Linked DNA regions of Ovis aries. Each later gene encodes a partner of the first gene's protein in a complex. Links are inferred from orthologs where the notes say so. Each region holds a gene or a part of one and is shown on either strand. Other genes may lie near its edges. The genes, in order: AAGAB and AP1S3.

The links.
Region 2: the proteins of AAGAB (region 1) and AP1S3 are in contact, whole or in part, in a crystal structure (PDB 9DDT), measured with the Homo sapiens proteins. The link is inferred for Ovis aries from reciprocal best matches to the Homo sapiens genes AAGAB and AP1S3. Residues at the interface, in NP_078942.3 of Homo sapiens: Asn51, Lys52, Tyr53, Tyr54, Glu108, Val109, Met110, Ile111, Gln128, Ile132, Gly135, Phe136, Glu137, Asp151, Phe153, Pro154, Glu155, Arg161, Gln164, Ala165, Asn167, Ala168, Asn169, Val170, Met176; in NP_001034658.1 of Homo sapiens: Arg10, Gln11, Lys13, Arg15, Gln37, Leu40, Ser41, Arg61, Tyr62, Ala63, Ser64, His85, Val88, Asp92, Phe95, Val98, Glu100, Leu101, Asp102, Ile104, Phe105, Asn106.

The regions. Positions count from the first base shown.
Region 1 is NC_056060.1:14,007,666-14,011,471, forward strand, and holds part of AAGAB (alpha- and gamma-adaptin-binding protein p34), read right to left. Parts: intron 2,371-3,806; coding exon 2,288-2,370; intron 1,461-2,287; coding exon 1,364-1,460; intron 1-1,363. UniProt on the Homo sapiens protein: May be involved in endocytic recycling of growth factor receptors such as EGFR.
Region 2 is NC_056055.1:226,006,425-226,010,775, forward strand, and holds the start of AP1S3 (AP-1 complex subunit sigma-3), read right to left. Parts: upstream 2,932-4,351; 5' UTR 2,905-2,931; coding exon 2,794-2,904; intron 2,012-2,793; coding exon of another isoform or gene 1,979-2,011; intron 1-1,978. UniProt on the Homo sapiens protein: Subunit of clathrin-associated adaptor protein complex 1 that plays a role in protein sorting in the late-Golgi/trans-Golgi network (TGN) and/or endosomes.

The DNA.
Region 1 (3,806 bases):
CCTTCAATTCTAGTTCAGTACCAAAGGATTCAACCCAGCCTTCACCTTTCCTTCTTAGTAAATTCTTTCTCCGACAGTGAGAAACCTAGCTCTCTTTCTCTATGCTACATTTTCTTATTCTTTCAACCATAATATATGTAAAATATATTTACTTTCAGAATTTCAAACCCATATCCCTGTAAGAATCAAGTCTGTTAAGCAGAGTGTAGGATTTACGCTCAGTTCTCTTTGTTTCTGGCTCACGGCATCCAGTCCGGACACCACTTCCCCAGGTTCTTTAGGTCAGTTCTTATCCTCCCATCTCACTCAGTGTGGTCAATAGTTTGTTCTCACGGCAGAGACTTTGGTAGGTTTCAAAGCTAATATGAAGGGTTCGACCGAGAGGACAAGACTGAATAAACCGGAGAGAAATGAAGTTATACACAATTTTTTCTTCTTAATATACTTCTATAGCCAATTAGTTGAGTTTTCTTTATGGATTATTTTATAAACAGAAAAAATTTTTTTAAGACTTATTATTGCACATGGGCCCTCCGTGGCATTTAAAGTATTAGTGATGTGAGTAGTTTCCTAACAAAAGAACATTTAGAGTTACTGTCAACTAAGTGCCCTGGCCTTCTAGCTTTTTGGACAGCAAACTGCATTTCAGTTTCAGCTCCAAGACTTTCTTGTTCGATGCCCTTGGACAAGTTATTAAACTGCTCTGGGCCATACCTTCATCTCTGTAAAGTAACTTATCTGCCAAACTTCATTACCAAATGAGAATGTGGACATAAAAGAACTTTAAAAGAATATGAGAGGGCTTATAAGACTATATTCTTCTTGTTACCAATTCTGACTACCGTAAAATACCATGAAAAAATGGTGGAATATGGAGATATAAAGCTGTTTCACCACCTGGTTCGATCTACTTTAACTCAGATCTTAATCAAGATCCTGCTGAGCCAATCAGTGGTGCCCACGGATTTGTACTATAATGTATTTACTCTCCCTGCCTTTTCTGCAGCCGCCCACAAGGCTCACATTCATTTGGGGGTCAGTGCTGACGTCCTTGGACTCCCTGGAGGCTCAGTGGCAAAGGACCCACTGCAGGTGACGAAGTTCCGATCCCTAGGTACGGAGATCCCCTGGAGAAGGGAATGGCAGCCCACGCCAGTATTCTTACCTGGGAAATCCCATGGACAGAGGGGCCTGGTGGGCTACAGTCCACTGGGTCGCAAAAGAGCAACTAAACAATAACCACGGTCAATGTCCTTCCCTTACCCCTGTTTAGAGTCAGTTTCCCTTTGCATGATTTGTGCCCCAATGCATGGGCTTTGGCAATTTCCACAGAGCGGTCACTTGGCAGCCACACAGCACTTACCCACAATGCTATCGACCTGCACGTCTGCTGTGTTAGAAGCAGCCCCTCGATGATCCAAGAGGGATTCGGTCCTCTCTGCTGCTGGCACACAGGGCTGCTGTGGAGAAAAACACACACGAGCCACAATCTAACAGGAGGCTGCTTCCAAACCAACTCCAAAAAGGCTCACAGTTCCACTCGCTGCTCAGCTTTAGAGAAGCAGTAATAGGAGGGAGACACAAGGAGGGATGGAAGAAGGATCAAGGTCACATTATAAATAATATTAAAAAAAAGGCCAGAGATTCACTAACTTGGGGCTGTTTTTCCTCAGGGATAGAAAAGTGTTATGATTTTGCCTTTGACTATTAAAAACATATTGTTTGTTTTGTTTTGAATCACGTTTTACTTAAAACCTGAAAACGGACACAAGCCCATCACAAAAGAGCTCAGAGACGGAAGAAGGTGGCCCTGGGCAGACAGCGCAGCACTACATACCGCGCTCATGACTCCAGCGTGCCGGCCGGGACAGACATGGGCCAGAGTCCTTGTGGACGGAGGGCTGAAGCCAGCCCTCTAAGCTCATTAAGGACAAGGGCCTTCCTCAGACTGGAGAGCACACAGGAAGTGCTTAAAAGAACCATTACTTTTATTTTATATTTGAAGATCTGGGGGGAAACTTCAGCCTCAAGGAAATTCTAGCATGTTTTTAAAAGCACTCTAGCAAAAACACATGGAACAGCCCAAACTGTAAACAGAAAGGGCTTACTGCTTTAATGCCAACCTAGGCTGCTCTTAACAGACAGCAGACTCCTGGTACCCATTTCTGATATTCTCTACCACTTCTTAAACGGAAAGGAAAAGACGATGAATGGTGTAGAGACTCATGATGATGAGCAGAAAGAAAGAAAGGCCAAAGCAGAGAAACGATCCAGGAAAAATCTTTACCTCTGAGTGGCAGGTCTCTGCTGATCCAATGCTATGGTTTGCTCCAGCCAATGAGCTGAGAAGGTTAAGGCCTTGGTTCCTCTCTGAAGAGAAAAAGTACAATCAGTGAAATGTTTTATTTACATTTAAAGCTGTTAAAATGACTGTGATGATGATATGATAGCTATTTCCTCGCTATAAAAGTTTTAGCTATAAAAAAGTTACTATTAATTACAAACCCCTCTAAATTCTGAATAACTTTGAAATCAAGGCGTATTAGTCCAGATCAAATATATGGCAGGGCCATTATAACAAAAGGCTGCTCAGTAGTTCTGTTTGCAAAGATTAACAGCACTGATGTTTTAATAGCTACTATGAACAAATATTTCAGTGTCTAAACAACTGAAAAACATTAAAAAGAATCAATCAACGTCAAGGCATCATTACCAGATGAAAATGAACATTCATGCTTTCTTGAAATTAAGCTCTGTTTAATTCAGTTAAGGTTCCCAATACTTTCAGTATTTGCATTTATTAAGTAGTGTTAGTCACTCCGTGGTGTCTGACTATGCGACTCCATGGACTGTAGCCCACCAGGCTCCTCTGTCCATGGAATTCTCCAGGCAAGAACACTGGAGAGGATAGCCATCCTCTTCTCCAGAGGATCTTCCCGACCCAGAGATCAAACCAGCACCTCCTCCTGCATTGGTAGGTGTATTCTTTATTACTGAGCCATCAGGGAAGCCCAGGAATATCCTTAGGATCAGGAAAACTGGAGGGAAAACCAAACAACAACAACAATAAAAAGCCCCCAAAACAAAAAATCACTGCCTGAGAGCAGAATGTGAAACCCATAATTTAAGAGGCTGGCAGCACCGAAGTCACAGAACTGCTCTCTCAAAAAGATAATTTCCTCCTACATCACTTTTCCTCTCCTGTGGCTTCCCTGGCTCCATTCTCAACTCTCTTCAAACCACCTACAGACTTTCAAGGTCTTCTTCCCTACTGGGGGAAACCTGTCATAAGTCACACAGAGCACCACAGACAGACAAGCACTTGCAGGCTACTTGGGGAGGTCTGCCTTGGAAACTGGGATGGAGCCCGACTGGGGCCCGTGGAGTCTAGACCTGAAGCTTTTTCCAGGCTGACCTCTTACCACGTGGGCAGTCACCTACTTACTGCAGGCAGGTATCTACCCGAGTCAGCACCTATGCTTTAAGGCCACAAAGGCACTAGGCGGCACCAAGTGTCTGCTGCTGCCCTGCTGCCTTCCCTGCTCCACAGCCAAAGGTGCACACGTACTCCTGGAGCCCCCCTCACCCCTCAGCCAAACTGCCCACTTGGTGAGGAATTCTCTAGGCCCAGTGCTTGGGTATGCCCCCCATCCAAGGACCAGACACTAAGGTTTCATCAAGGCAGGCCATGGAGGCTCAGAGGCTGAGAAAAGCAGATCCGTGTGATGTCCCACACTGATGGTTTCACAGAGCCTGCGGGTGTCTGTTCAAACATCAACATAATTCTTTTTTGTGGCCAGTGTGCT
Region 2 (4,351 bases), on another chromosome or scaffold:
AGTTATGTCCAACTCTTTCTGACCCCATGGACTATAGCCCACCAGGCTCCTCTGTCCAAGGGAAAACAAATACATAAATGAGCAAAGTTTTAAAATCCTCCTTCTTCCATCAACACTGGCAACCATGCAATAGTAAATTCTCCCCAGTTAAGTGTTTAAGTGCAGTGGTCTCACAGCCAGTGGGGATCTCTGAAAACACAACAACCCTAGCTTTATTTCCCAAGGTAGAGATTTCTAAAACAAAGGCAGGGTGCAAAAGTACAAAGTTGATGCAAACAGAACTACCCAGCTATAAGCACTGCTCCTAGATGCAAAGTGTATGAAATTTCTGCCCTTGAAATCTAGATCACTAGCCCAGTGGAACCAAGGACCATTTTCTGTGTGTAGGTACCAGCAAGATGCTGTGGGCATCTTCTAGTTTCCTAGCAGCAAGAGTCAGGAACGAAGCAGAATAAAAACAAGGAGTCACAAAGTGATCCTCACTAAAAAGCCTAGAGATGCTGGGCAATGGGGAGGGCCACTTATGCTTCTCTGCCACGTGACAGTAATAAAAGATAGGAAGTGACAGTCACTGAGCACTTACAATGGGCAAAGCTGGTCTACCAGCTTTCACTTGCATTCATGCACAGAACCTGCCTGGGATTCTTTTCACTCTTAAAAACTCAGCCCCAAATAATAAAAATAAGGTATTAATTAAATGAAACAACAAAGCAAAACACGTATATATATTTTTAAAACTTCAGCCCCAAAGACTTTTTGTTTATGTAAGTTGTATTGATGTTTACTGTATTGCGAATTTAAGCACAGAAAAAATTTAGATACTTATTACACTTCACTTCAGTCGCTCAGTCGTGTCCGACTGTTTGCAACCCCATGAATTTATTAATTCACTTAAAACTATAATCAACCTATTACACATTAACAGAAGCTCTTTAATGAACAGTAACAATATTTTCCAAAGGAAAAAAATTAGAATGGCATTGTTTTACATTTTGGCAAATTTCCTTAAAGTCTGGCTCAATAGAAGACAGCTGGACTGGCCTTGTGCCTTTGCCTTCACTCTGCTGCACTCTCCCAGGTCAGGTTAACCTTGAGAAAACATCACGTATACTCATGTAGGAATGAACGTGTAAAGGGTAAATAATACCTTTGTGTTATTATGAAAAGAGTTTTGGCCTTCTGGACTTCTAAAAAACCTTGGGGACTCCTAAACGTACCCAGACCAAAGTTTGAGAACCACTGCCTTATGAGTTAGGATCAATTATTATCCCTACTTTATAAATGAGCAAACTGGCATAGAGAGGTCAAGGCATGATCCAAGGACATGTTGCTGGGACAGGCCAGAGCAGGTAAAATGCAAAGAGCATAATACTTTCATTTGGTTGGATGTTGCACGAACTAACTGAGATCATGAAGGTAGAAGATAGAGTTGGTTATCACAAGCACTCAAAAACATCAATATCTCCCACTGGGCAAGGTCTGATGAGAAACAAGAGACACTGCACATTTTTGATCAACTCATCATTGACACCAGCAAGAAAAAATAAAACTCCACTGCAAGTGTTGTCCAGAACTTGTACCAGCTTTCTGGATGGAAGATTTTTGCAACTCACAAACTCCAGGGCCTCATTCCATTCTTCATGAGGCAAACGGTGCAGTGTGCTGCACATATGTCACTGTGTTCCTTGAGAAACCTGAGCAAGCCAGAAGAGTTGCTCCATTATTTACAGGTTCCTTTTTGCACCATGCTGTATTTACAAGGAACCCTCAACAAACAACAATGGTGCCTCCAGTCTATGCAGCCAAACCTAGGAACCACCATCTGTGATCTTCTGGACCAGGAGCTCAGCACTCCGCTGCCCTCCTTGTCCATCAACTTTTGTAACCCTCGGGGCCTTCTTGCTCCGCCTGCAGCGAGTACTCAAGTACAGAGTGCGGGTCACTTTTGTTCCTCCTTTGATTTGGGACGTGAGCTCACCTGGGGAAGTGGAACTCGGTGCTGTTCAGGCCACTGCATACTCAAAAAAAAAAAAAAAAAAAACCTGCCCTGAACAGAAAGCAAGAACGAGAGAGGCACTTGAAGCTACTGCTTCCATCAACTGCAACCAGGATCTCTCAACTGGATCAGTGCAGACTGGTCCCCCTCCACTCGGTTGGAATAAAATCCAAACCCCTTAACTGGGCTTATGAGGATTTCTTATCTGGTACCTGACAACCTGTCCCACTAGAAGCAAGGGTTCCTCCTCTCCAGCCTTTGCTCTCTCTGCTCCCACTACCTGCAATGCCCCCCTAGGACTTCCAACAGCTCAGATGTCACCTCCTCTGGGAGGCCTTCGCTTCTTGCCCCTCTTTTATAGCTGCCTCTCCATCCCTGCCTCCGGTTGTACTTGAGACTTCAGAGCACTTACTCTCGGAAGTTATTTCGATTTTACTGGTCTATTACTCATCTCCCTCCTTCCACATCCTCCTCCTAGAAGATAAGCCGCCAACAGCCAGGGCTCCACCGGGTCCCCACGACGTCTCCGCCGCCTGGCACCGCGCCTGGCACAGACTAAGCGCTCAGCAAAAACGGTCGAATGAATGGAGCAGCGGCGCCCCGTGGCCGCGAGGGACCCGAGCTGGGGTCCCTGGGGTCCCGGGCCGGGGTCGGGATGGCGGGGTGGGGGACCGCGGGGCGCGACCGGGCTGCTCCCCTACCGGCCGCGCGCCCGGCCCAGCGCGGCAGGTGCTTGGGGAGGGCGCCCGCACACAGCCGCCGGGGTCCGCGCCGCCGCCCAGCTCTCCCGCACTCACCATGGTGGCCGGGCCGCCGCCGTCCCCGGCCGGCGAGGGACGAGCGCGGGGGACGCGAGGGCGAGACGCGAGCGCTGGAGCCGGCGCGGCTGACAGGTGAGGCGCCGGCATCAGACCATGGCTGCTTCCCACAATGCTCTCGAAGCGAAAGTTTGCAGACTCCGCCCCGCGCCGCTGCCCTGCCTCCCTCCCGCTCCTCCCGCTCCCTCCCTACCGCACTTCCTCCCCCCGGCCCCCGCACCTCCCTCCTTCCCCCTCCTGCTCGCCCGCCTCCCGCTCTTTCCCTTCCCTCATCTCTTCTCACCCTCCTTTCTCCTCCCCTCTCCTCCGTTTCCCGACGCCCTGCTTTCTGCTCCCTCCTCCTGCCCCGCCCCGCCCCCGATGGCCCCGCCCCCGATGGCCCCGCCCCGCCGCAGCTGGCCCCGCCCCGCGCCGCGCCGCGCCGCGCGGGCGGCCCTAGGTGCGAATACACCTGCGCGCGGACCTCGGCCTCCGGCCTGATCTGCGGTGCGCGGAGCACCAAGAGCTCCGCGGGTTCCGCACTGAGGAGCCCTGCGCAGGGAGCGCGAAAGGAGCTACTTTCCTGATTCACCCGCGCCGTGAATGTGATTTCATTCATTCCGCAAACGTTGATTAGACCTGGCTGAGAGATTTCCTCAGACACTTGCGGCAGGAAGTGTCACTGGTTGTCTTCTCCTGAACCAAGTAAGGGAGGGAGCATTTGGTAGAGCCGGAACCAGAAGCGATCTCTTGCCGCCGAGTTGTTTTTTTTTTTTTTCTTCATATGTGTGTGTGTGTGTATACAATCCAAGAACATAGGTCATTTTAAGCAGACCCGATTTTAAGAACTCTCTCCTAAGACTCTGGCGTGGACTTCCTAATCTTTCTTCTTCTCCCCTTGGTTTTTCTTAAGCCTTGAGTTTCCACCTGGGACGTTAGAAGTCTCCAAACCCTAAGTTGTACGTAGTGTTTTTGAGTGCATTTTCATGTTCTTTTGGTTGAGTCGATTGGTTTTAGCAAATACCTAAAGAGATCTGTGACCCTGAAAAGGTTAAGAACCTTTGCCTGAGTGGTTTCTGGAAATCAAAACTGGTGAATATCCTCAGATCTGCCTTGTACGGTGTGATCCAGCCCAGGTGACCTGAAGATATAAACTCCATATACCCCATGCGCTTGCTCCTTGGAAGAAAAGCTATGACAAACCTAGACATCATATTAAAAAGCAGAGACATTGTTTTGCCAACAAAAGTCCCACAATCAAACCTATGATTTTTCCAGCAGTCCAATAGGGATATGAGAGTTGGACCTTAAAGAAGGCTGAGCACTGAAGAATTGATGCTTTCAAACTGCGGTGCTGGAGAAGACTCTTGAGAATCTCTTGGACAGCAAGGAGATCAAACAGTCTACCCTAAAGGAAATCAACTCTGAATATTCATGAAGAACTCATGCGGAAGCTGAAGCTCCAATACTTTTAGCCATCTGATGTGAAGAGCCAAGTCACTGGAAAAGACCCTGATGCTGGGAATGATTCAGGGCAGGAAGAGGAGGGGCAACAGAG